7 linked regions of the Rattus norvegicus genome follow. The protein of the gene in region 1 interacts with the protein of each later gene in a biochemical or structural test. Links are inferred from orthologs where the notes say so. Each region holds a gene or a part of one and is shown in the gene's direction. Other genes may lie near its edges. The genes, in order: Cebpb, Ep300, Cebpg, Smad4, Ddit3, Rb1 and Kat2a.

Region 1 (3,387 bases):
GGGAGCACTGCCTTTCTGGAGCCCAGTCTGAGGGGAAACTGAGGGAAGGAGGGCAATGGTGTGAATGGTGGCCTAGAGGCAGAAAGAACAGTCACCAGTGTTGGATGAGGGAAGGCCTGTCAGTGAAGCCCCAATGTCCCACTTTATAGCCAGGCCTGGCTGGGTGGCCCTGGGGATGTCACCACGCCTCTCTGGGCCCTGATCCCTTCCTGGCCCAGAGGCTGCTGGGAAGGCCAGAAAGCCGCAGGCAGGGCTAGTGTCTTATCCTTTCCCTCCCTGCCCCCCACCCCCAAGGGCACAGGGAGATGTCATTTCTCCAGCTCTTGGGGGCGGAGGTCACCCCAGCTCAGCAGATAACACCGAAGGTTGAGCAACACCCCGCCAGCTTGCCGGGGCCAGGCCTGGGGTCAATGGGTCGGGGGTCAGCCCCAGGCAGGTTGGCAGCTCCCGCTTGAGTGGCCCGGCTGGGAGTGGCAGAAGAGTGGGCCCCCAAAGTTGTCCTGGGCCTTCTCGGAAGAGTCTCACCGGGGAGAGGCTGGTGGTCCAACCTGGTGCCCATTCAAGTGCATGGAGAGTTTGTTTTTCCAGCTCTCCGGGTGACCGTTGCGTCCTTACGACTGGACTTGGGTCTGCCATGTTCCCACCGCAACCACCTGAGGAGCTGCAGCCTCCGGGGAGGGCTGTGCGGGTCTTTCTTGGGGTCCATTTGTCTCTGATACCCGGACACCACTACCGACAATACCAACACTGTCCACGGAGGAAACTCAGAGGAGCAAAGTGACTCACCCACAGACACAGTGTGGCAGAACCCCCACCCTTGCCACCTTCGCGGAGAGGCGTGGGGAGTGGAGTAGGCTGGTGCGGTGGGCGGGCCATACAAAGGGTTGAGGGTTGGGATCCGGGGACAGTAAGCATCCCCGGGGTGGGCGTGCACAGGGTGGAGAGTTCTGCTTCCAGGAGTTGGGGTCTCAGAGGCGTGGGCAGCACCTGGGTGGGCGGACATGCACCGGGTGGAAGGCTGTTTCCAGGGAGTTGGGGACCGGGGACAGCGGGCGGGATCCGACGGTTGGGGTCGTGCACCGGGTGGACTGATCTGTTTCCCAGAAGTTGGGGGCCCGGGAGAGCGGACAGGAGCCGGACCAGTCACCGCGTCCTCCAGCAGGGGGCGGGCGGCGGCAGCGCTCCTCAGTGTTCCCGAGGGGCGGGAAGGGGGCGGGCTAGCGTCACCCGCGTCCGTGGCGATCGCGGGGCTGGCGGGGCGCCCAGGACACCGCTCAGTATCCCGCGCGCGGACCCCCGCCGCTCCCCACTCCCCGCCGCGCCCTCTCGCGCTCCCGCGGCCGGGCAATGACGCGCACCGACCCGGCGGCGGGGCGGCGGGAGGGGCCCCGGCGTGACGCAGCCCGTTGCCAGGCGCCGCCTTATAAACCTCCCGCTCGGCCGCCGCCGAGCCGAGTCCGAGCCGCGCACGGGACCGGGACGCAGCGGAGCCCGCGGGCCCCGCGTTCATGCACCGCCTGCTGGCCTGGGACGCAGCATGCCTCCCGCCGCCGCCCGCCGCCTTTAGACCCATGGAAGTGGCCAACTTCTACTACGAGCCCGACTGCCTGGCCTACGGGGCCAAGGCGGCCCGCGCCGCGCCGCGCGCCCCCGCCGCCGAGCCGGCCATCGGCGAGCACGAGCGCGCCATCGACTTCAGCCCCTACCTGGAGCCGCTCGCGCCCGCCGCCGCGGACTTCGCCGCGCCCGCGCCCGCGCACCACGACTTCCTTTCCGACCTCTTCGCCGACGACTACGGCGCCAAGCCGAGCAAGAAGCCGTCCGACTACGGTTACGTGAGCCTCGGCCGCGCGGGCGCCAAGGCCGCACCGCCCGCCTGCTTCCCGCCGCCGCCTCCCGCCGCACTCAAGGCCGAGCCGGGCTTCGAACCCGCGGACTGCAAGCGCGCGGACGACGCGCCCGCCATGGCGGCCGGCTTCCCGTTCGCCCTGCGCGCCTACCTGGGCTACCAGGCGACGCCGAGCGGCAGCAGCGGCAGCCTGTCCACGTCGTCGTCGTCCAGCCCGCCCGGGACGCCGAGCCCCGCCGACGCCAAGGCCGCGCCCGCCGCCTGCTTCGCGGGGCCGCCGGCCGCGCCCGCCAAGGCCAAGGCCAAGAAGGCGGTGGACAAGCTGAGCGACGAGTACAAGATGCGGCGCGAGCGCAACAACATCGCGGTGCGCAAGAGCCGCGACAAGGCCAAGATGCGCAACCTGGAGACGCAGCACAAGGTGCTGGAGCTGACGGCGGAGAACGAGCGGCTGCAGAAGAAGGTGGAGCAGCTGTCGCGAGAGCTCAGCACGCTGCGGAACTTGTTCAAGCAGCTGCCCGAGCCGCTGCTGGCCTCGGCGGGTCACTGCTAGCCCGGCGGGGGTGGCGTGGGGGCGCCGCGGCCACCCTGGGCACCGTGCGCCCTGCCCCGCGCGCTCCGTCCCCGCGCGCGCCCGGGGCACCGTGCGTGCACCGCGCGCACCTGCACCTGCACCGAGGGGACACCGTGGGCACCGCGCGCACGCACCTGCACCGCGCACCGGGTTTCGGGACTTGATGCAATCCGGATCAAACGTGGCTGAGCGCGTGTGGACACGGGACTGACGCAACACACGTGTAACTGTCAGCCGGGCCCTGAGTAATCACTTAAAGATGTTCCTGCGGGGTTGTTGCTGTTGATGTTTTTGTTTTTGTTTTTTGTTTTTTGTTTTTTTTTTGGTCTTATTATTTTTTTGTATTATATAAAAAAGTTCTATTTCTATGAGAAAAGAGGCGTATGTATATTTTGAGAACCTTTTCCGTTTCGAGCATTAAAGTGAAGACATTTTAATAAACTTTTTTGGAGAATGTTTAAAAAGCCTTTTGGGGGCAGTAGTTGGCTTTTGAAAAAAAATTTTTTTTCTTCCCTCCTGACTTTGGATTTATGCGAGATTTTGTTTTTTGTGTTTCTGGTGTGTAGGGGGCTGCGGGTTATTTTTGGGTTGTGTGTGGTGGTGGGTGGGGGTGTCGCATCTGGGTTTTTCTCCTCCCCTGGCAGATGGGATGCCAGCCCCTCCCCCCAGGAGAGGGGGCAGAGTGCCGGGTCAGGAATTCAGGGTGACTCAGCACCCATGGGTGCCGGGGACCTTGCTAGAAACCCTGCTTGGGACGGGCCGCCCTCTGGGCTTGGTTTGAGTATCAGGCTTGTGTTGACTAGGCAGGCAGTGACTATGTAGGAAGGGCTAGTCCAGACAGCCGGATCAGGGAGGTGAGCACTGTGTTCAAAGTACTGTGTGTTTGGTGGTGTGTAGCGCCCCCCCCACCCCATCCCATGTCTGTTTGGTTTCTATGTCCCTGTGTAGCTGGAAGAGAGACTGG
Region 2 (4,256 bases), on another chromosome or scaffold:
AAAATTTTATTTTCTTGGTAGTACTGGTGACTGAACTTTTCAGGCCACAGGAAGAATAGGCAAGCCTACTACCCATCCAGTAGGTAATATCTTGGAAGTTTTCCTTCAGTGTCACATACAGCCTTGGTACTTTCCCTATATTTGAGGGTCCCAAACACAGAAATCCAGTAATTTGAGAACCCTAAAAGCATGCTCCCTACTTTTTTGCTTCGAATTGGACTGCTCTAACACTAGCTTCTTAGGAGCATTTCCTCACTCTTTTCTAGAGTTATGGATTTTTAGCACCTGACATTTTTTTGTCCTCTCCCATATTTATATTTAAGGCACTGCAGAAAGTGCTCTTTTATTAAGTTCATCTGTTAGAGATGGGTGGAAATACCTTCAAAAGACCTTGGAAGTTTCAGGCAGGTCCAGAAAAATATTCTCAAGGATTCTTTTTCTAAGAGTGGTTGCTGGTAAGGATGTGTAGACACATAATAGGCAAAAAAAAAAAAAAAAAAAAAAAAAATGCATGTACGGTCTAGTCCTAAACAGCCTCCCACTGCTGTGGTTCCTCCCCACCCCATTTTTCTAACAATATTATCCTAGTCCAAATTTTTCGTTTTTGAATCAGACATTTCAAGAGGAAACTTAAAGGACTAGCAATGTGACTTTGAGAAATGAACTGCTCCTTTCGAAAAGGCGATGAAGAGTGTGGAATGTTTCTATCCTGAACACACAGGTGCTTGGCGGATTTAATGGAGTTCCAAAGATCAACCGGAGAGGGCAAAACCCGGGCGCTCCAACTTGTTTCTGCTCATTTTCACAGAGGAGCGCCAGAGCTCCGACTACATTCTGCGCAAAGACCCAGCCCAGGAACCTAAGTGTCCACCGACCGAAAATACGTTCTAAGTCTACGCCGGAGCCCCCCTCTTTCAAGACCTCCCCTTTAAAGGGAGCCACCGAATGACGCCGGGGGAGTTTGCGGAAGCGCCTACCGCGTTGGGCCCTTGGGCGGATCCCGTGATTGGAGCCGGCACCGCCCCCAGGCGCCGCTTCCCCCATTGTGTGAGCTGCAAGGAGGAGGCCCCGCCCTCGCCCCGCCCCCGGTTCCTCGGCCCCTCCCCTCTCCACTCCCCCGCCCCCCCATCTTGGCTCATTTCCGGCCGCCGCCGCTACCGCTATCCTGTAAGGAGGATTCGGCAGAGGCAAGAAACAACAGCCGCCATCTTGTTTGTGTGCTAGCCTGTGGGGGGGTGGGGGGAGGAGAGAGCGAGAGGGACCGGGCGAGAGTGGGGCAAGCGGGACGCCCGGCTGAGTGCGAACTGCGCGAGCAGGGAGTGCGGGGGGTACCAGGCCGGAGAGCAGCGGCCGCGACCGAGACAGTGGTTGGGGGCCCGGGGCGCAAAGGCTGAGGCGACCCCTAGCCCCCTCCTGCCCGCACACACCCCCACTGCAGCCCGGGCCGGCGTCGACGCCTAAGGGGGGACCATTACATAACCCCGCGCCCCGCGGCGCCTTCGCCCGCCGTCCAGGGCGGCCCCCGAGCCGAGCCCCCGGGGGGGGGCGGGAGCTCCCAGCACCTGGCTGCCGGGCGTGAGGGCCAGAGAGGCGGCCGTACTTATTTCTCCTCCACGGGCTTGCGAGTGGAGGCGGAGAGCGCGGCGCGCGGAGAGGCCGCGTCGGTGGGCTTGGCGTCGGCGCGGGCTTGCGGGCGGGCCGCCCTGCTCGGCCCGGCCCCCCTGGCCCTTCGGGCCGGCGAGCTCCACGCTCGGCTTCGTCGCCGCGCCTCCGCTGTCCGCTGCGCGATGTGAGGTGGCTCCGGCGCCAGTCTGGCTCTCGGCTCGGGTGAGCTCAGTGCGGCCATTAGGGGCCGGTGCGGCAGCAGCGGCGCAGAGCGCAGCGGCAGGAGGAGGAGGAGGGCTCGCAGGGTGGGGGCGCAAGCCCGGGAGGGGGCACCGGGAGGAGGTGAGTGTCTCTGGTCGCCTCCTCCTCTCCCCCTTTTTTCGCCCCCGCCTCCTTGTGGCGATGAGAAGGAGGAGGACAGCGCCGAGGAGGAAGAGGCTGATGGCGGCGGCGGAGCTCCGAGAGACCTCGGCTGGGCAGGGACTCGCTGTGGCGGGCTGGGGACTGCGTCTGTAGAGCTGTGAGTTCCCGAGAATTCGCTGCAGCGGACGTGCTCGTGGGATCAGTGTTGCTGTACCCTCCTCCCGGCCTGGTTTAGGCCCGGCCCCTCGCACTTGCCCCTACCATTTCTGTTGAGTCCGCATCCCTCTCCGGCCACCGCAACCAGGCGAAGAGAAAAAGGAACTTCCCCCACCCCTCTTGGGTGGCGGCGGAGCTCCGGAGCCCACCCTTAGGAGCGGGGCGGGGACCCCGTTTCGAAGAAGAGATTTCCTCAGGATTCTCGTTTTTTTTCCTCGGTTGTATCTCCGAAAGAATTAAAAATGGCCGAGAATGTGGTGGAACCCGGGCCGCCTTCAGCCAAGCGGCCTAAACTCTCATCTCCGGCCCTCTCGGCGTCCGCCAGCGATGGCACAGGTTAGTCTCGGGACTCCCGGCCTTCCATAGTTCCCTTCGTCTTTTCTGCTGGTTGCACCTTCATTCTAGGGTATTTCTGTGTATCTCTTCCTATTTCTCCGGCCGGTGTTTAATTTTAAAGGATTTTGAATGGACTGGTTGAAGACGTCCAGCAGCCCAACCATTTTCTTTGCCTTCTGATACATTCATTGCAACACTATGTCATGTCAGATGGTTGTGTGTTCTGGAATTAAGAGCTTGGAAGTGGGAGCTGCATGGACCTTTATTGTCGGCTCCATGCAATTTAATTTGGGAAATGCCGGTACAGTTGTGTGTAAGGGCTTTTATGCACTTTTACTATTTTTTGTTACTGGCGAATGAGGTTTTCAAATCTTTCTCCCCTGTTGCACTTAATTCTTTTCCCTCTGCTTTTCCACCTTTAAAGGTTTTTACTCCTGTGAAGCAGATTTTCTGTTAAGGAATGGGGGTGGAAGACAAATCTTGGTGTGTGCAGTACAAGGTTTTAAGTGTAACGTAAAGTTCAACAAAATACTGTTTTTTAAGTCCCCTCTCCATCCTTGGCTCAAGAATCAGTATGGACCGCAGTTTATTTTATATCTATTTGGTGTGAAACCAAAATGTCTCAAACTGGGTGTTTGATCAGGTGAGGAGACCTGAGGCATTTCCCTTGCAGTTTGTTGTCACCCTTCTTATTTAGAAGGGAAAGAGAAAAGATGAAGCCTTTCTGGAATTAGGTACTTAGAAATGGAGATAAGAAGTTGAAAGAGTCCCAGTCATGAACTTCCAACTAAAGTGACTGTACAAGTTTGAAAATGTACAGTAGGTTTTGTGCTTGTATGCTTATTTTGATTTACTTTTTGGACCTTTGCAATTTCAGTTTTCAAGATCAAGGAATTCTTTTCTTCAGTCAGCCCCTTTGTTAGGAGACCTGCAGGGAGACTTTCCACCGTCTGTTCTTTTTTCTACTTACTGTTAGTTTAGTGTTATTCTGATGATCACCGACCTGGTCCTCTTGCTGTCTGACTTGTTTGAGAGGCCAGGATGATGAAGAATAATGACTGGTCATCTGACAGTCCACAAGATGTTCCCCCTTACTACAAGCATCTCTTGAACTCAGAGAACAGGCTCAACATCTTCGATCTGCCCGCGGAGTGTATAATGGAGTTAAATGTATCCTGCGAGTTGTAGAGAACGTGTGGGCCATGTTTCTCAGTAGGATTTATGACGAAGGCATGAAAATAAGATAGAACTAGTGCTTTACTCTGCTTTTTTAGCAGCTGTATTGTGAACCATGAGTTTTGCTAGCTGCAACAGTTGGGAAGGAGGATGAGTCTGGCAATGTTCTAAGGCTCTAACTTTAGTTATATGTGAGCATTTCAGCTGTAAAGTTTCTGAGGTCTTAAAGAAATTTTTTAAAAGTATGTCTTTAAAATTCATAGGCATAGACATTAATTTTATAGACACATTCGCTTTGCATTTTTGTTTCATTCCCTACCCTCATAATAAATGTACTTCTGTAATATGTTCACAAGTTGCCAAATTTGACATAACCAGTAACATGAAATATTGTATGGAAAACTTTTTAAAATGAAAATTTTTGATGTTCTGATTTGAGTGATTCAATCTTAAAGTCTGTTCATACCTTTCTGTTCAGGTGGACTATTGCATTCTTGGTCTGATTTATGTATTTTGCTAAATTGTATAGCTTTTGGCTAACTCATGGTTTAAAAAAAAAG
Region 3 (4,026 bases), on another chromosome or scaffold:
TGCCAAGAACCAACACAGAATGCAGCTGTCAGGGAGGGTAGCTGGCAAAAAGAGAGTCTACCTCAATGTACATATGACATACAAGGATATTTTTATTTTCTATAGTTTTTATATGATTAGAAAATATTAGGGATAAGATCATGATTATTTTGTGAGAAACAAAGCACAGTTCATCTTTGATAGTGCTAAGAGTCATGAAAAAAAAAATGGCTCTTAACACAGCGATCCAAACCTAAAGAAACATACTGGTTTTGAGACAGCTCCCCAAATGTGCATAGGGTTATCAGGAGTCATTCTCTGTGTTTGCCTGTTTTTTGTTTTTTGTTTTTTGTTTTTTTGTTTTTTTTGTTTTTTTCTTTTTTTGTAGGTATTCTCATCTCTCAGGGATTCCTGGAAGTCTTAAGTGGAGAGCTGCTCTCCTGGCCTTGGCGCGGATGAAGAAACATTTCTTTTTGAAAGCCAGTGAGTTTTGAATGATAAGCATTGCTAAAGAGGAAGCAATCAAACCTATCTCTCAGGCTCTGCCCTCCACCCAGCACGCTGCTTCCTGTACTTCAAAAAACAAAAACAAACAAACAAACAAACAAAACCCAACAAAACCAGCTTTTTGATTCTTTTGTGAACTGTTTGGGAGAACCAGGCTGGACTGCTTGTCACTTTTAAGACAGCACCTCAGGTCCATCATCCGCTCTCACAGAGACGAGCACACTTTGGAAATCGTGATTTGTCTGAGAGCCACAGTCTACTGTTCTCAAGAGTGTGACAAGTGCTAACCCTAGCACTGGACAGTTTTTCCTTAACGTGCTTTTGTCAAAATGAAGTTTGCAGACGCCCTAGGGCCGCGAGGCCTAAACAAAACAAAAAAAATCAAAATCACTAACTCAAAAATCCACCCGAGGAAATGCCATTTCCCTAAGGCAGGTGAGACTCTCATTACTATGACAGAACTTTTCTCGCTACCGGTCACTCCCATCGCTCAGGGCCGCCGCCCGCCACCACGGACAGCCTAAGGGGGAAACCGCGGAGCGCGCCTCCAGCCAGCGCCGGTGCTACCACGCCCACCACGCCCGCTCCGCCGTAAGTCCGCCTCTTGCTGCCACCCTGGCTGTGATTGGCTGGTGGAGCTGCCGGTCTTGAGAAGCGAGCGCGTCGTTCTCCGAGCAGCGCTTCTATTGGTCACGGCTGCGGCGGCAGCGCGCGGACCCGAAGAGGAGGGGAAAGCCGGTGGCCGCGGTGGCGGAACGGGCGGAGGCTGCCGGTTTCGTAACCGTCGCTCCTCCTCGCCGACTCGCAGGCTGCGAGGCCTGGGTAGGGTCGGACCGCGCCGCGCGGGGCCGCTCGGAGTGGAGGCCGTCTGGGGGCGGGCGGGCCGGCCGGAGGCGCAGGTAAGGAGGCCGCGGGTTCTAGCTCGGAGGGGTTGGGGGAGGAGGCCGCAGCGGAGCCCGCCGCTCGCGTAGGCACCGGCCGGGCTCGAGGAGACCCGGCCCTGCCGGATTCAGCAGGTTGGCCCGGAAGGCCCCCGGCGGCTTGGCGGCGCGGGCGGGGACCGGGAGCGGCGTCTGATGCAACCTGCGGGCAACACCCGGCGGGGCTGAGCTCATCCCTGGCCGCGGCCCAGCGCCGCCGCGCAGGGCGCCGACCCCCGCGCTCCCCCAGGCGCCCCCTCACCACAGTCGGGGAAGGGATGGAGTACCAGGTGGCCCCTCCAGAACCTGCTCCCCGGCGACGTGCAGCGTGACAAGCCTGGCGCGCATTGGCCCCTGGGAATGGAGAGTGTTTCTAGAATAGAAGATGGACCGAATCTTACTTTGGAGCCACCTAGGACTCTTCTGTCGCTTCCCAAACGGCTCGGTCTGGGGGAGGAGGGCCCGGGTCCTATTTGGAGTTAATAACCTAGTGGTCATCTAGGGAAGGCACTTGATTTTTTAAACACTTAGCGCTGCAAGAGGGAGATTTCGTTTGTTTTTTGGGACGCGGCCGCGTGTCTTGTAGTTCATTGGGAGGGGAAGGACATCCTAGATAGCGCACCGGTTCACTAGACGCAGAAGGTCAAGCCATGAAGCCTTTCCTTAGCTCGCCTGGAGGGAACTCGGGAAAAGAGCCAGCAGACGAATACAGGTGGAGAAGTTGGGCGGCGTGCGTGAGGATTGTTTCTCTTTCTAAGTGCGCTTGTGTATTTCTGGTCTTAAGAAGGCTGGCATGCTTAGATTTGCTCTGCTCTTTGTTGTATTTTGTTTGTTTCTTTGTAAGCCGCCTCATAAGATGTATCAAATTTAGAAAGGTTTTAACCTTTGTGAGTTGCACAACAGCTGGGGCCTGTGTCTCTGGAGTTTCCACCCGCTTGAATCCTTACTTGAATATATTATCATTGAATGCATACCTGTCTCACAGAGGAAATTTTGAAATAAAGCACCCCGTCTTTACTGAGAAATTCAACATAGAAGAATTCAGAGCATGGTAGGCAAGCCACTCTACCTCTGAGCCGCATCCCTAGCCTTCAGAGCGCTCTAAGGTCCGTTCAGCTGTTGTCATTTGAGTAGTATTAATAAGCTATCCCTGCGGTTCTTACCTGTTCCTGAAAAACTGTAGATAATGGCAGGACGCTACTGAGCTGAAGAAATACTTGAGTCTGTTTCCTGAGTCCGATGGGCATGCCCGACTGACTCAGTTATTTTTATGACCTATCAGAAACAAATAGGTGGGAGCAGACTTCCCTCCCCCTCCCCCAATATCCTTTAAATTCTCACACCACGTCATGATTGCCAGCCAGCTCTGTGATCTTGGAGAGGTCCTTTCATCCCTAGCGAATTAAATGCTCCCTAGGAAAGTCCCTGGGAGCATTCCCTTCTGAGATCATGGGAAGACACACAGGACCTGGTTGACAGTTGCCACAGTCACAATAATGAGTACTGTAGCAATTTTAGGTTTCCCTCAGAGGGGTGGTTGCATAGGTTCTTACACTAGCAAGTTTATTGGTCCTCTCTCTAGTCCATTGCTGTGCCCTGCCATTAAAGAGAGGGAAAAAAGTGAACAGGAACTCCTAATAAATATAGTTATAAACAATGTATTTTTGAATGTGCTAAATAGTACTATAAATAGATGTAAAGGATAACATCCAAACAAGCTTATGTTTTCTTCACAACTCCAGTGGACCACTTACACTGAACTCCTTGAAGGAGTCTCCTCTCCTTCATGGACTCTGCCTCCTACAGTCTCCAGGGAGCTGGGATTGCCAAAGAGACTGGGGGAGCAGATTGAACAAAAGGCACAAAGAGAAAACAGAGACCATTTAGAATGCTTTAGGGAGCAGAACTTGTAGAGAGGGTTAGGATCTTGGCTTTGATCCTGTAGTCACAGACATTGATTTTTAGTAGCAAGATGTGACATTGTTAGGTTTGAATGGAAGACTGCTTGACTTGCAGGTACCAAACTCTTTGAGGTCAAATGACTGATCCTTTTATAGGGGTCACCTAAGACCATCCGAAAACAGATATTTATATCATGATTCATAACCATAGCAAAATTACAGCTATGTAGTAGCAACGAAAATAACTATGGCTGGGGGTTGCCACAGCATGAAGAACCTGTATTAAAGGGTCAAAACATCAAGAAGGTTAACTATTGCTCTAGATAATCTAGATAGTGGGTGCTTGGAGGGAGCTCAGGCTGCTACACCAGAGGCTAGGGCTCCTGGGAGATGATGTCAACCTGAGGTAATTTCTGTGGCATTAGGAACGACAAGAGATGTGGGATATTTTTGTTTGTAAACCTGAAGACTCAACCTTCATTAAGGAAATTGAGTGAAGATTTGATTTTGGGGGGCTAATGGAGGGATACATGGTTCTATCTAGGTTTATGGAAAAAAGTGACAAGCTAGGGAAGTTCTGTACAGGTTTATTGTTCCAAGTAAAAATTTAGACAAGTTCTATTTTACTATTCTAACATTCCAGAGTTTCATTGTTTTATTCTTTTGAATGAACATTATTACTTTAGTTAATAAATTTGCATTTGAAGAAAGTTTTACTC
Region 4 (3,500 bases), on another chromosome or scaffold:
AATTGTGGATCATCAGATATAATCAGACCTTCGTCTTTGTATAAAAGCATAGACCCGCATCTCCACATGTGCTGTGTTAACGTCTTCTTGTCTCTCTAGGTCAGCCGGCCAGCATTCTGGCAGGCAGCCATAGTGAAGGACTGTTGCAGATAGCTTCAGGGCCTCAGCCAGGACAGCAGCAGAATGGATTCACTGCTCAGCCAGCTACTTACCACCATAGTATGTACACGCCTTTTAAATCTTTTCAGAGTTGAGAAAAAGAGGCAGCCGTTATAAAAGCAAATTAATGCATATGGGCCTTAATTTTTAGACAGCACTACCACCTGGACTGGAAGTAGGACTGCACCATACACACCTAATTTGCCTCACCACCAAAACGGCCATCTTCAGCACCACCCGCCTATGCCGCCCCATCCTGGACATTACTGTAAGCTCTTGTTTTCATTGTACGCAGGGCCTTTTTCTTTTCTAGCTAGTACTTTGATTTCTATTTTCTTAAAAATGGTTTTGCATCGTTTATTCATCTTACAATTTAATTTTGTTAAATGATTAGTGCTTTTTCCTTTCGCAGTATTTTTGTAAGCAGTTCTTAATTGTCACACGTCTGTTTTGCACGCTGTTCATCATCTCACTGTCGCTGACGGCTCATCGACACTACATCGACCTCCATGCATTTGTTTGCTTTATGTTTTAGGTCTTGTATGTGTACCCACCCACAGTCGACGTAAGCCTTGAGTACTACGATCTCAAGGTTCCCCTCACCACAGAATCACTGCAGTAGATACAAGAGATCTTAGATGTTGGATCTGTGTAGGTGTCCTTTTCATACAGGCGTCTTGGGACAACACCCTACAGACAGTCCAGCTTCAGTAGAATAGAAACACTGTTCATTTGACTTTAAAAATCACAAGTATAGGGATGAAGTAAAAAGTGAGGAATGTAAGTCTTACATACCACTTTTCCTCTCATTTTAAGATTAATAATACAAAAATATTGGAAAGTACAAAAGGCATAAATAATAACACTAGAGGATACTTCTAGTGTTCTCTCCTTCCAGTCACATAAGTGAGTGTGTGTGATATGTATGTATGCTTATTGTTACATACCAGTTACATTACTACCTTCCCGTGTGTTCGGAGAGTGTGATTTCTAATGGCTGCCTGGACCAGTGTGTACAATTACTGGGTTTGCTCTATGATTGCTGGTCACTTGTTTAAACTTACTAAGCCTCAAGGGTTGTAATTTTATCTGCTTGAAGCAATATTGTAAAAAGTGAGTATAGTAATTCTGTGAAGTTTTTAGCACCGTGTGTTGATAAGTAAGCTTTCAATTATGATTGCTACTGTTCTATTATATAAATGCCCCTAACTTAATATAAGCATTGATTTTTAGAAAGGTTAGCAATTTAAATTACTATACATTGCATTATTAATTATACTATTGTTATATAAATAATTTATAATCTGTATTAAATATTGCATGTATAACTGGTAAATTGTTAAATAGAATTTGTCAGATAACACTAAGAGGTTAGCTGTTAATCTCACAAAATAATTCAGGAAATAAACTTTTAAATTCTTGGCATAAATGATTTAAATAAATTTTAAGGCTTATGATATTTGTATTTAAGGTTTATTAAAAGTTTTAGTACTAGAAAACTTTTAATAAATAAAATGGGGTTTTTATTATTTTTTTTAGGGCCGGTTCACAATGAGCTTGCATTCCAGCCTCCCATTTCCAATCATCCTGGTAAGTGCATTTCAATATTGATTTCCCGTATGTACATTTATTAGAATAACTGGTGTGGGAATGCCGGTGGATTATTTACAGGGTAACTAGACTCAGACAGGGTAATAATCACTGACTTAATCAGCAGTTTAAGAGCAGGTGATGGTTATAGACTATAGTTTTTAACTGTCTGAAAGAAACGTAAAAACCTTTTAAAAACAGGTATTATGTATAGAATTGCCAGGTTTTGGCATTGAATACATAAATACGCAGCAGAGGGAAACTGAGCGGCAGTAGAGTAGCTTCCGAAGTGTGGCTTAAAACCCAGGGGGAGGCCAGCGATGTGGGTCAGTAGGTGAAGGGGCTTGCTGCCAAGTCTGATGGGACTGGGTGTGACTCCCGGGGCCATGTGGTAGACACAGACTTTGAGCACAGAAAACCCTGAAACCTTGAGATGTCAAAGGCACAGACAATAGGAACCGGAGTTTTTCTCATTCTTCACTCAGGAAGATACACTTACAGCTAGTTGCCTCTCTGTAGTCACAGAGTTCTGGTCCTGGATGCCCCTCAGATACCCAGTTCTAAGACTACTCAAGCCCTTTATGTAAGACCATGTGGTATCTATTCTCCTATGATTTACACATGCCTTTTAGTATATTATTTGCAAACAAAGCATCATTTTACGTAAGAGACTTGAACAACTGCAGGTTTTGGCGTCTGGCTCTACAGGACGCAGGACAACTGTGTGTCTAATAAAGACTTTCAAAATATGGCTATGAGTTAAAGGATAACTTAGTGTTTCATATGTAGCTCAGTAGGGGATGGAACAGTTCTGAAGAGAGACGTAACACGAGTGGAATGCATAGTGCAGTAAGTGATGGCAGTGATTGGCTTTGTCTTCTCACAGTAGCCCCTGCTTTTAGAGAACAATATTCAGTACGTGAGGATACCTCTGTGCACCTGTGCTGGCATGGCTACCTCTTGTTCAGTAGATCACAGAAGTGGCCAATGCATCCTGAAGGGTGAAGGGACTTTGTCCACCTGGCTGCAGTTCTGCAGTTATCCTTCTAGTGAAGTCCGTAGGTCAGGGCTCGGGCTTTGCCTGATGATTGATATGGGCGGACACAGCTCACTCTGAGCACTGCCATTACTGGGTCGGGTCGGTGGTTCTGGTTGCTGTAAGAGGAGCAAGCCAGTTAGCAGGGCTCCTCCATGGGCTCTGTTTCAGTTCCTGACCTAAGCTCTGCCTTGACTTTGCTCAGGGATGGAAGGCAGCTTGAGGCTGTTGTAAGATGAAGTAACCCTTTTCCCCCAAGCTGTTTGGTCACGGTGTGTTCCCACAGCAGTAGAGATCCAGAGTCAGAGAGACGCGAAGACGTTAGGGTCAAGGCAAGAAACGTTCAACTGTGTCCTTCCCTCCCCTGTCAGTGCCACCGACGCTACCTGATGCTAGCCACACTCATGCACGGTAACCAGCGTCACATCTTCTTTCCTTATTGGACAGGTAGAATAGATATGGTCTTCTCCCCACCATGTAGCTCTGGCTGTCCTGGAAACTTACTATTTAGACCAGGCTACCTTAATTCCCAGAGATCCTCCTGTCTCTGCCTCCGGAGTACTGGATTAAAGGTGTGCACTGCCAGTGCCTTACCTACATATTCTTTAGAAGGTCAGCCACTCTGTTGTGTTTTCTTCAGTGTCTTTGCGGTGTTTGTGGTTCAGGAGTATATTCATATGCTCATACCAGATTTATAGGCTCACATTCAGATCTG
Region 5 (4,143 bases), on another chromosome or scaffold:
GCCAGGAGAGACCATCTGGTTCAGCCCACCCCCAACCTCTACTAACAGAAGGGGAAATGAAGGTCTGGAGCGAAGGAGCAGTCTGGCCAAGGACCTGTCACTGTCGCACCATCCAATAGCAACCGGTCTTGGTTCAGTTTCTACTTAGACAAACTCTGGCTTGCCCCTCCCGAGTGTACGACAGACTATGTAATAGGCCACCACATGGCCTCTGTTTTCATGGCACAAAAAATAGGTTTTGCAAGATGTTTTTACTTTTACTCAAGTTTTCTTCACAGTGCTGTTTTTACCTTTACCTATCATTCTTTAATTTACAACTGAGTACGGTAGATTCCTTGGGCAAATTAAACTAGAATGACCCAGTCCAGGCAATCATGCGCTCAAGTGCATGCACGTCCCAGTCTCTAGGTCGTGAACCCAGACACCTAGAGGCATGAGGCCAGCTAATCAGCAGGGAGTCACAGGACTTGCTATCTTGGAGAAGGAAAAGGGTGGGTATTGGGCTTAGTGAAGGGCATAAGAGCATCACACAAAGCAGGGGTAGGATAAGTAGGCAGGAGGCTACACTCTACAAAGAACTTGAATTCTGGCACGCAGTGGACGATTCTGAAACAAACGTTAAAGCTGCCCTTCTGAGAGAAGCGGATGGACTACCAAGGAAATGCCAGTACCTCAGTCTTTGGGAAGCGTTAGAAGGCTAAAAGAGGAGGAGGTCTCTTAAAAGACTCCAGAAGATGTCAATCCAGGTGAACAAATTGGAAACTTTAAAGAGGTTCAAGAGCCTCGGTGCCCATTAGTTGGGAGGGGCCAGGGAAAATGAGTCTTTTATGGAGGAGTAAGTTAAAGGTGATGGGAGGTGGGCAGACAAGTTCAGGAAGGACAGCCGTTGGGGCCGTTGGACACTGTGAGCTGGCGCTCCGCCTTCTTTCCTCTCTCCCCCATCCCCCCCTCCCGCCCGCTCCCCAGCACCTCCCACCACCATCGACGTCTCCTGCGCGTGCGCGCGCGGACACCGGTTGCCAAACATTGCATCATCCCCGCTCCCCCTCCGCCCCCCCCACGTCATCCCCTCCCTCGCCGCACTCTCCTCCGCGCGCGCGCATGACTCACTCACCTCCTCTGCGAAGCCTCGTGACCCAAAGCCACTTCCGGGTCCGAGATAACGTAGACTCTCGAGCCAGAGGGCGCGATGGAGGCGGGGCCACGGGACTCCTGAGTGGCGGACGTGAGGGGTGAGGCGGAGCCTGTGCCAGCGTGCCGCTTTCTGATTGGTAGGCTCCTGGACACTACCCCCCCCCAGGAGGGACCGAATAGCATAAAAGATACTCGCTCTCCGCTCCAGAGGTCAGTATCTTGAGTCTAATACGTCGATCATACCATGTTGAAGATGAGCGGGTGGCAGCGACAGAGCCAAAATAACAGCCGGAACCTGAGGAGAGAGGCGAGTACTGACTCCGTCTACCCCTTACTTTCCCATCCTCGCCAACATAGCTATTCCACAAAGTTAGAGGCAACTGTCCTTGAGGGTGTAGCCCCACCCCTTCCACTGTGAGTTTGTAGACTGAGGGGCGAGTGAAGGCGGGTAATTCCTGATTCGGGAATGGTGCTTACAGGCCACCTCTTTGGGCGATTGCATTCCCGTTCCCTTGTCTCAGGTTGGTCCCTGCTCTGCAAAGGGACTCCGGTTGCCTTCGGAAATTTGTCTCAGTACTGACCATTTGCGGGCCATCTTAGGCCTAGGCGGTTCGCAGGAAAGGTGGGGCAACAGGACACACCCCCCAATGTTGGGGACTCCGGCTGTTAGCACCTCTTCTCCACCAGCCTCATTCCCCCCAACTCTTTCAAGCTGAAGCGCCTCAGGGACCACCAACATGGCCACTTTAGTAGCTGTCTCTAACGTTCAAGACAACTCAAAGACTGACAGATCTTTGCGAGTGGGGGTGCCGGTGGGAGGAGCATAGATGGGTTTTTCCCTTTTCCCCAGAGGTTTCTGGGTTTCCGTACAAGAGAGCAGCCTGGGTCTCTTTAACTATGGGAAATTACTTGGGATCTCTCCAGGGTCTTCTGCTTCTCTTAGGACTGATCTCTGCTTCTTTCCTCAGTCCTGTCTCCCAACTAATCTCTGTAACCGTTGCATCAGGCCAGCCCACTGTTTGTCTCTGCACCCTCAGGCCTGGGGCTCCTCTGCTGATGAAAGCCAGGTCCCACACACTGGAAGACCAAGGAGTTTTCCCTAGAGGACAACCCTGCAGAGAAACACTCAGGGCAATATTGCGTCTGCAGTCCCCAGAGACAGGCAGCTCAGCTCTGCCTTTGGGCTCAGTGGGCTTAGTTGTTCTCTATTCGTTCCTAACAAATGCCTAATAAGCACCCACTATGTGCCAAGCATTTGGGGATCCAGGGTATATTAGAAGCAAAAGACGAAACTGTTCTCAATAAAACTTACATTTCAATGTAAAGCAAAAGGGGGGAAAAACAGAAGCAGGGAAAAAATAGTTCAGGATGGTGGCTAGAGGTTTTATCATTCAGGAATTGCCTCAGTGGGTGGGTGAGATGGAAAGAAGGCAAGCCTGTGAGCCAAGCAGGTAATGTGGAAGAGGTTTATAGAAGGGAGAGAAGGAGCAGAAGGGTTGAGATGAGTGTGCCAGTATCCTTAGGAGCAGGGCAGTGAGCTGGACTAGAGTAAGCAGGAGAGGGTGGTGAATGGAAACTCAAGTAGCAGGTCCTGTAGAGCCTTGCAAGCATTCTCAGGATGCTAGTCTTTCAACAGTCCTGAAACAGGAATCCATTGGGGGATCTGAGCAGAGGAATGTCCTAAATTAAAAGGGTTGGGGAAAGACCCCATGCATTTAATTCCAACACTCAAAGAGGTAGGAGCAGGCAGAGCTCTGAGCTCCAGGCCAGCATAGTCAGATCCTAACTCAAAATAAATACAAAAACAAAGGGTTGAGTGTGTAGCTCAATAGTAGACTGCTTGCCTAGTATGTAGAGGGCCCTAGGTCAACCCGCAGCCATGAAAATAAAAAAGACAAGAATAGAAACAGGAGATCTTAGCTGGAAATAATGGCAAATGCCTTTAACCCCAGCACTTGAAAGGTAGGTAGATCAGAGTTCAAAGCCAGCTAGTCTACAAAGTAAGTTCCAGGACAGCAAAAGCTACACAGCAAGACCCTGTCTAAAAAAAAAAAAAAAAAAAAAAAAAAAAAGATTTCAAGGCTTCCAAAAATAATCTAGGGAATGAAATGCATAATGCATGGTAAGTTTACATCTGGAAATAATGAGAAAAAGTGAGAAATATTTAGGTTTTGGGTACTTCTAAAGAATATTGAAGTTGCCAGTGCTTTAGACTGAGCTGTGGTATCTGAGAAGGGAGGAATTAAGGATACCAAATGTTTGGCTTTAGGCACCTATAGTTGCCATTTAGTAAGAACTGTACCCCCTTGGTAGGAAAGGCCTTTTGTGTAAGCTGAATGCCTGCTCAACAACCAAAAGAGATGGAGATCCCAGGGCAGGTCTGGAGGCTAGGATGGGAATGGAGTTTAAGCAAATACTGCTGAAATCTCTCTTCCCTGTATTTTAGTTCTCACTTTGGCAGATCTGAGGTCTATCTGGATTTAGAGAAAACTTAGTTGGCCAGGACTTTGCTATTATGTAATCAGGACTACAAATGTCAGCAACTAAAAATAAAGTTAAGCATGCCTGTCCTTGGCTTCAGGGACACACACACACACACACACACACACACACACACACACACACACACACACGAGCCTCTCTGTGGCCTGGTCTACAGAGTTGAGTTCCAGAATTCCAGGATGCCCCGGGCTTCACAGAGAAACTGTCTCAAAATCCAATGACAGAAATTAAGAAACCAGCTAGAGAAAGACCAGTAAGAGGCTAGAGGTAAAGGACCTGTTTCTTCCCCTTTCTCCACAGTGTTCCAGAAGGAAGTGCATCTTCATACACCACCACACCTGAAAGCAGGTAATCTTAGCCACCCTCCCAGTCAGCTCCTAATGCTGCTCAACTTGCTTTGCTGGGATGAGAGTTAGACCAGGCCTTGACCAGAACCAGCTTTTGCTGTCAGACCATGTCTTTCTCTGATCCCATAATGTTGTTTTAGAGCTGGCTTGTCTCAAAGTC
Region 6 (4,187 bases), on another chromosome or scaffold:
CAGTACCAGCAGAGATGACCAATCACCCGCTCTGTTACATGTCTGAGGGCCCAGGTTCTTTTGCAGCTTGCCACAAATTACCACAGGGGCATCAGTTAGCAAGTGTCACATTCTCTGATAATTTTGAGGCAGGACTGTCATTTTTTTCAGGCCCCCTGCAGTCTATCCTGTATCTTCCTCAAACCTAGACTGCATGTAACCTAAGCTCTTGCCTAAATCTGGGACAAGGTGAACTCAACTGCTATTTTAATTCCATACATTCTCGGTGGCTGCATCAGGGCCTGGGCTCAACCTCCTGACTAACATTTGCTTCACAGGCTTCTGAAGTTAGGCAGGACTGACAATTGAAGGAGGTCTGTGTATCCTTCACACATGTCAAGGCAGAGAATAAGCCCAGGTTTGCAACCTACCCAATGAAGTTCCTGCTTCCTCAGCTTTTGCTCAGCTGTTCCAAGATAGTTTACACCGGAACAACAACTGCTTTTTATTCACTGCACCTCAGTTAGGGAGTTGTGTGGCAACCACCAATAAGGACTGGCAAAGAGAGAAAATTACGTTGACTGACGCGTAAAAACTGTAACTAGAAAAGATAGTTGCTGAGCCAGCTTTTGGTGGCGGTAGTTCTAGTGTGCTCTTTCCCCGTGTCTGTGCGTTGGTGATATGGTGAGTCACCAAATATTACTTGGGTTTGAGTCCTCTGCCACCGACCGGCTATGTGACACAGGTAATCAACTCTCCGAACTCCCATTTCCAACACGCAAAGTGGAATGCTGGCCTCCCCAGTTTGACCGGCTGTCTCTGAGAAACAATTATGAAAGGGGGCTGGATCGCGCGCATTAACACGGCAAACTGGTTTCTGCTTTCTTTTCAAACGATTTTGTAAACGATTTTTCAAAGTTGGGTCCGCCTGGCAAGCTGATTTTCAAAAGATCCTTTCCCGTTAAGATCTGTCGGGCTTGGACCGCGCCTCCAGTTTCCACATCAAAAGACTTACTCCACACTTCACTCTGTACATCGACTATCTACCCTCGTCTCCAGAAGGCCAGTAATGGCCCCACCCTGGACCGCCCACCCCGGCCGAGCCCACCTCCCACTGGCCGGGCACGTTTGTTTTTGTTTTGCCGGCCGCGCGGGCCGGTCGAGGGGCGCGCCCTGTCCAGCGTTCTCCCAGAGGCCGCGGCTCCTAGGAGCCGGCCCGCCCCGCCTCGGCTGGCGCCGCCCACGGGGACGACGCGGGCGGAGACAAGCCCGGGCAGGCGCGGCTTCCCTGCGGCTTCCCGCCCGCGCCCTCGCTCTCGCCCGCCGCCGCCGCCACCGCCGCCCCGGTTCCCCACTGACGCCCGCGGCCCGCGAGCCTCGCGGACGTGACGCCGCGGGCGGAAGTGACGTTTTCCCGCGGTTGGCCCGGCGCTCGGTTGCCGGGCGCGTCCGGTTTTCCTCAGGGGACGTTCCCATTATTTTTGTAACGGGAGTCGGGTGAGGACGGGGCGTGCCCGGCGTGCGCGCGCGCCCGCCTCCCCGCGCGCCTCCCTCGCCTGCTCGCGCCGGCCCGCGCAGCGCGTCATGCCGCCCAAAGCCCCGCGCAGAACCGCGGCCGCCGAGCCCCCGCCGCCGCCGCCGCCGCCTCCGGAGGACGACCCCGCGCAGGACAGTGACCCCGAAGAGCTGCCCCTGATCAGGTGAGGAGCGCGGCCGCCGCGGGCCGGAGAGAAGGGAAGGGAAGGGCGCGGGGACGCGGGGCGCATCTTGGCGGGGACGCCGGGCGCATCTCGGCGGGGCCGGGCAAGCGATAGGAGCGGCGCCCGGGGTCCCCGGAGTCCCCTCGGTCCCCCACCTCCGCGGGACGGCGGCGGCGCGGTGACACGGTCCTGGGCTCGCGGGCGACGGGGAGGGCATCCCGAAGGGGTCTGGACTGCGGCTTGACAGGTGTCGGGCGGGTGGGGCTCCTGCTCCCGAGCGAAGTGACAGGTGCAGGCTCTACTCCAGCGACGCCCAGGCGCGGAGCCGGCGGGTCCTGGAGAGCCCCGGTCAGACGCAAAAACAATTGAAATAAATATTAAAACAAAAAAAAAGTCGACCGATGTTTGTCTTCTTTCTTCCTCCTTTTTTTTTCTTCCGTGGAGATCCGGAGCACCCCCGGGGTGGGTTGACTTTCTGTTTTGCAGTCCGGCGATGCAACAGTTGGGAGCCTTTCCCACTGAGTTTGCGCTGCATTGGCAGCTTGGTCCTGGGAGAGGCCAAGAAAAGCCTTGTAGGCGAAGCGCAGGGTCGTGGGTGTCAATTGCTCACGGGGTCCTCAGCTCCCGGGCTTTGTGGGGGTTTCTTTAGAACAATGCTTTGAGGCCCCGGGGATTTAAAGCCATCTGTGGAGACTGGTGGAGCATAGAAGAACTGGTATGTGGGCAAAAGTTTCAGGAGACATTTAAATGCAAGGGCTTGAAAGTTTCTAAACTTTGTTCCCTTTTTTTCAGGGTAGAGCTCTTCTTGCGTGCTGATTGGCCCGCAGCATGCTTCATTATTTCTTGCCTTTTGCCTTTGAGCAAAAGGTGCCTGTCCCCACCCCCCATCCCACTCCCCTTTTTGTTCTTTGGTACTATGTTGTCTCAAAGAACCTTTCTCTCCATTTATTAAATGGAATCTAAACTTAAGTTCATGTGGATCCAATAAGAACAACGGAGAGATATTTATTGTATTTCAACATTTTATTTTTCTTGACTGTGCTACTGTTTGATTAAGTAACAGAAATTGAAACAATATGATTGTTGTTATCGCCAACAGTAGTTTTATTTTGAGAGTATAGATCCATTGTATTGTAGTATGGGAATTGTTTTGTCTCTCACCATCCTTCCATTTCTAGCCCATCATTAAGTCCCTGACTTTATTTTTTTTAAGTACTCTGACTCTGTAACCCAGGCTTGCCCTGAGCTTTCTATTCTGCCTCAGCTTCCCAAGTTCTGGAATTGTAGGCACTCAGCACCCTGATGCACAATCAAGCTCCTTTCTTCCCATTGAGCATCAAGTCTCCTTGTGTGACCCAGACTCTTAACCGAGTTAAGGTCAAATCCTAAGGGACTGAAATGATTTTGGAAATTGCTTGTCTAAGTCTATTAAAATTCATATTAAATGGATTTTCTTGTGGATCAAATAAAAATCATGTTCTTAGAAAATAAATATAGAATAAAAACTATGTTTGGAGACTGTTCCAGGGAAAGAGTTTGCTTTTGTTTCCAATTAAACTCTGATGTATCCAGTGTGTGGAGGTTTCCCTTTTAGAAAAAGCAGTATCCTGTATTCTAAAGATTCCATGCCATCTACACAGCTTTGGACATATTGTTGATTACTATAGAGTGAACATACACATTGACGTTCTGGCCATTGCTTGGGGAGAGACAGACCCAATTTCTTTCTCTTGAATATACTTTTAACTTTGGGGAATTCTCAAAAGTTCTCCGTTGAGCTTAAACTATACCAGACATAGTTTCATCTTGGTTACTCATTACCACAGAGGTTCTCAAAAGCACTTACAGTTGATATCTGAATTACCCATAGTTACATGTGTTTCATCATAGGAATTTGCTACCTTTTCTGAACTGTGCCATTAACTTAATTTTGTGTGATCACTGCAGAATGCACTTAAACCCCAGTGATATATAGATCATTCACTGTTGCTGTCTTGCTGCAATCAAGAGAGGCTGTAAACACTATATATACAAGGCTGCTGCCAGTGTAACAAAACATACTGTTGTGCAGTAAACTTTAGTTTTTAATGATAGAAATACGCTGTAAAACAATGATAAAGCTATAGTTTAGTAGACATACAAGCCAGTAACGTAATCACTTCCAGTACTGTATCCTGAATGTCCTTGTATATATTATTCTTTCCTACAAGTGGCAGGGTAGTAGACTTGTTTGCAGCAGCAAAGTGACTGCACAAGTAGCAAATGGATTGTGCCACAATGTTAAGCTGGTTAAGATGGCCTCTAAGTGATGTTTCTATGCCATTATAATCTTACAGGACTATTGTTGCAAACTGCCTTATTGACCGAAACGTCATGTAGCGCATGACTGTTCTTAGCAAGGATAAGAGGACTGCCTCAGACTAAAGCTTAGAAAATAGCTTAGGGATGGATTCAGCCCAGTCCACTTCGAATAAGTCTACTTTGACAGCTGAGGTGTTATTTATTTTA
Region 7 (2,725 bases), on another chromosome or scaffold:
GGGATAACAGTGGTGGGGTATGATAGCAGTGGGAAGGCACCTTGGGGCTCAGATGGGGCTGCAGGCCCTGCCAGGTCCTCTAGCCACACCGTCCACTCCCTCATCCTTGATTTCTTCTCTCTTGCAGCGACTGTCAGTGCAACAGTTGTACCCAGCACTCCCATCTTCAGTCCTTCCATGGGCGGAGGCAGCAACAGCTCCCTGAGCCTAGATTCCACAGGGACAGAGCCCATGCCAGGTGGGCACTTGACTGCTGACCGCCATTCACCCTCCCCTCCACATTTCCTGCTATCCCAGGGTGACCCTGTCATCCCCCCCAGCAGGAGAGAAGAGGAAGCTTCCTGAGAACCTGACTCTGGAGGATGCTAAGCGGCTCCGAGTGATGGGCGACATTCCCATGGAGCTGGTCAACGAGGTCATGCTGACCATCACCGACCCTGCTGCCATGCTGGGGCCCGAGGTAGGCATCCCAACCTGCTGACCTGTGGGGAAAGGAATCCCCAACCTCCTGAGGCCCTTGCTCACCACCCCTCTTCTGCCTAGACGAGCCTGCTTTCAGCCAACGCAGCTCGAGATGAAACAGCTCGCCTGGAAGAGCGTCGAGGGATCATCGAATTCCACGTCATTGGCAACTCTCTGACGCCCAAGGCCAACCGGCGTGTGCTGCTGTGGCTTGTGGGGCTGCAGAACGTCTTCTCCCACCAGCTGCCACGAATGCCCAAGGAATATATTGCCCGCCTCGTCTTTGACCCGTGAGTCCCTGGGCACCCCAGCCCCAGAGCACCTTGACTTCCCCATCCCTCTCCACTGGACACTCTCCTAATTGTAAGGCTCCACCTTTCCTCTGTTCTTATCCCCGATGACACTTCACCCTTTCGTGGCTGAGGGACCTGGGGAGCAAGGAGAGGACAGGTGAGTCCCGTGACATGTCCCCTCTCTCTTAGGAAGCATAAGACCCTGGCCTTGATCAAGGATGGGCGGGTCATCGGTGGGATTTGCTTCCGCATGTTTCCCACCCAGGGCTTCACGGAAATCGTCTTCTGTGCTGTCACCTCAAATGAGCAGGTCAAGGTGAGCACAGTGCCCCTGACCATGACCCCGTTCTACCACCTGCCTCCGAATATGGAGCAAGCCAGCCGAAATGGCAGGATATCTGTGCCCCAGCCCTTGCTGTATCAAGCAGACTTTCCACATACTCCCTCAGGGTGGCAGCTTCACCTTGATAACTGATCATTGAGAAAACACTGGGCAGTGGTGATGCAGGCCTTTAATCCCAGCACTGGAGAGGCAGAGACAGGAGGGTCTCTCTGAGTTCGAAGCTAACCTGGTCTACAGTGTGAGTTCCAGGACAGCCGGAAACACAGAGAAAGCCTCTCTAGCAACAGCAAAACAGTGGATGTCATTCTGAGGGCCGGGGAGATGGTTCTCTGGTAAAGCGTAAATGCGAAGGCCTTCGCTTGATCCTCATCACCCACATTAAATAAAATGATAAATAATAATAAAATACAGATATGATAAAAATCAGCAGGGTAGGGTAGTACATACTTTTGATCCCAGCACTCGGGAGGAAGAGGCAGAGGCAAGGCCTTCCTGGTCTACAGTTTGAGTTACAGGACAGCCAGGGTGTGCAGAGGAACCCTGTTTTGAAAACACAAACAAAAAGTACCCAAATCAGCAATGATTTTTTTTTCTTTTCTGATGCAGGATGGAATGCAGGGCCCTGTGTACACCAGGCAAATATTCTACCACTAAGTTCTGCTCCCAACGATCTTTTGTTTTTTTTTTTTTATAATAAATAAATAAATCTTTAAAAAAAAAAAAAGAATTTATTATATATGAGTACACCGTAGCTATCTTCAGACACATCAGAAAAGGGCATCAGATCCCATTACAGATGGTTGTGAGCCACCCTGTGGTTGCTGGGAATTGAACTCAGGACCTCTGGAAGAGCAATCAGTGCTCTTAACCGCTGAGCCATCTCTCCAGCCCCAGTAATCAGCATTTTTATGTTAACCTTAGGGACTTTTTGTTTCAGAGAAGGGCCCATATAGCCAAGTCCAGCCTTAAGCACACTGTGTAGTCCAGGGGTACCTTAGACTTGTGATCCACTTCTCCCTGCCTCCAGATTACTGGGATCACAGGTGTGTACCCCCACACCAGGTCTTATCCATTGCCAGGGATCGAACTCAGGTCTTTGCGCACTCTGAGTAAGTGTTCTGCTAACTGAGCTCTACCCCACGGCAGCAACACTTTCCAAGTGAACCTTTGTTTCTTGGCAGGAAGGTTTGCATGCCTTGGGGAGTTGATAGTCCCAGCTTCTGTCTCTTTTGGCAACAAATTACTTTTGGGCTTTTCGTTCTCCCGAGTTGTGTGCATTGTCTGTATGGTCCTGACATGAGCGGGCCTCTGTGACCCCTTTCTGTTCTTCCCCTTTATTCTGAAACCCCAGCCGTGTTGGGTTGGAGCCCAGCTCTGCTGCGTCCGTGGTCCACTGACCTCAGACTGTTCTTCATACACAACCTGACTTATCAGGGTCTTTTTGGTGTTTTTCCTGCGAAATGGGGCTTTTGACCTAGTCATGGGCTAACTGGCAAATGGGTCTTTGAAGAATCAACCTGGAATCTGGCCCTGAGAGAGGAGCATCTAGAAACCCTTTACTTTCTCTCCGCAAACTCTGATCCTCTGCTGGCCACCTGACCTCCCTGCTCCGTCTCCCCCACAGGGC

Evidence for each region.
Region 2: the proteins of Cebpb (region 1) and Ep300 form a complex in vitro, tested with the Homo sapiens proteins (2 studies listed by BioGRID). The link is inferred for Rattus norvegicus from reciprocal best matches to the Homo sapiens genes CEBPB and EP300.
Region 3: the proteins of Cebpb (region 1) and Cebpg form a complex in vitro, tested with the Homo sapiens proteins (2 studies listed by BioGRID and IntAct, with this or other methods). The link is inferred for Rattus norvegicus from reciprocal best matches to the Homo sapiens genes CEBPB and CEBPG.
Region 4: the proteins of Cebpb (region 1) and Smad4 form a complex in vitro, tested with the Homo sapiens proteins (2 studies listed by BioGRID and IntAct). The link is inferred for Rattus norvegicus from reciprocal best matches to the Homo sapiens genes CEBPB and SMAD4.
Region 5: the proteins of Cebpb (region 1) and Ddit3 form a complex in vitro, tested with the Homo sapiens proteins (2 studies listed by BioGRID and IntAct, with this or other methods). The link is inferred for Rattus norvegicus from reciprocal best matches to the Homo sapiens genes CEBPB and DDIT3.
Region 6: the proteins of Cebpb (region 1) and Rb1 form a complex in vitro, tested with the Homo sapiens proteins (2 studies listed by BioGRID, with this or other methods). The link is inferred for Rattus norvegicus from reciprocal best matches to the Homo sapiens genes CEBPB and RB1.
Region 7: the proteins of Cebpb (region 1) and Kat2a form a complex in vitro, tested with the Homo sapiens proteins (2 studies listed by BioGRID, with this or other methods). The link is inferred for Rattus norvegicus from reciprocal best matches to the Homo sapiens genes CEBPB and KAT2A.

What each region holds. Positions count from the first base shown.
Region 1 is NC_086021.1:176,815,550-176,818,936, forward strand, and holds Cebpb (CCAAT/enhancer-binding protein beta), read left to right. Parts: upstream 1-1,455; 5' UTR 1,456-1,508; coding exon 1,509-2,402; 3' UTR 2,403-2,887; downstream 2,888-3,387. UniProt on the Homo sapiens protein: Important transcription factor regulating the expression of genes involved in immune and inflammatory responses. Also plays a significant role in adipogenesis, as well as in the gluconeogenic pathway, liver regeneration, and hematopoiesis.
Region 2 is NC_086025.1:114,986,401-114,990,656, forward strand, and holds the start of Ep300 (histone acetyltransferase p300), read left to right. Parts: upstream 1-1,456; 5' UTR 1,457-2,426; coding exon 2,427-2,520; intron 2,521-4,256. UniProt on the Homo sapiens protein: Functions as a histone acetyltransferase and regulates transcription via chromatin remodeling. Acetylates all four core histones in nucleosomes. Histone acetylation gives an epigenetic tag for transcriptional activation.
Region 3 is NC_086019.1:96,826,937-96,830,962, reverse strand, and holds the start of Cebpg (CCAAT/enhancer-binding protein gamma), read left to right. Parts: upstream 1-1,226; 5' UTR 1,227-1,385; intron 1,386-1,418; exon of another isoform or gene 1,419-2,118; intron 2,119-4,026. UniProt on the Homo sapiens protein: Transcription factor that binds to the promoter and the enhancer regions of target genes. Binds to the enhancer element PRE-I (positive regulatory element-I) of the IL-4 gene. Binds to the promoter and the enhancer of the immunoglobulin heavy chain.
Region 4 is NC_086036.1:69,532,685-69,536,184, reverse strand, and holds part of Smad4 (mothers against decapentaplegic homolog 4), read left to right. Parts: intron 1-99; coding exon 100-219; intron 220-310; coding exon 311-427; intron 428-1,698; coding exon 1,699-1,749; intron 1,750-3,500. UniProt on the Homo sapiens protein: In muscle physiology, plays a central role in the balance between atrophy and hypertrophy. When recruited by MSTN, promotes atrophy response via phosphorylated SMAD2/4.
Region 5 is NC_086025.1:65,000,352-65,004,494, forward strand, and holds the start of Ddit3 (DNA damage-inducible transcript 3 protein), read left to right. Parts: upstream 1-1,343; 5' UTR 1,344-1,378; coding exon of another isoform or gene 1,379-1,441; intron 1,442-3,936; coding exon of another isoform or gene 3,937-3,978; 5' UTR 3,979-3,984; intron 3,985-4,143. Other genes in the region: uncharacterized LOC128125814 homolog, read left to right, coding at 1,379-1,441, 3,937-3,978. UniProt on the Homo sapiens protein: Multifunctional transcription factor in endoplasmic reticulum (ER) stress response. Plays an essential role in the response to a wide variety of cell stresses and induces cell cycle arrest and apoptosis in response to ER stress.
Region 6 is NC_086033.1:54,909,058-54,913,244, reverse strand, and holds the start of Rb1 (retinoblastoma-associated protein), read left to right. Parts: upstream 1-1,387; 5' UTR 1,388-1,563; coding exon 1,564-1,679; intron 1,680-4,187. UniProt on the Homo sapiens protein: Tumor suppressor that is a key regulator of the G1/S transition of the cell cycle. The hypophosphorylated form binds transcription regulators of the E2F family, preventing transcription of E2F-responsive genes.
Region 7 is NC_086028.1:86,134,761-86,137,485, reverse strand, and holds part of Kat2a (histone acetyltransferase KAT2A), read left to right. Parts: intron 1-127; coding exon 128-238; intron 239-320; coding exon of another isoform or gene 321-323; coding exon 324-460; intron 461-543; coding exon 544-752; intron 753-944; coding exon 945-1,071; intron 1,072-2,722; coding exon 2,723-2,725. UniProt on the Homo sapiens protein: Protein lysine acyltransferase that can act as a acetyltransferase, glutaryltransferase, succinyltransferase or malonyltransferase, depending on the context.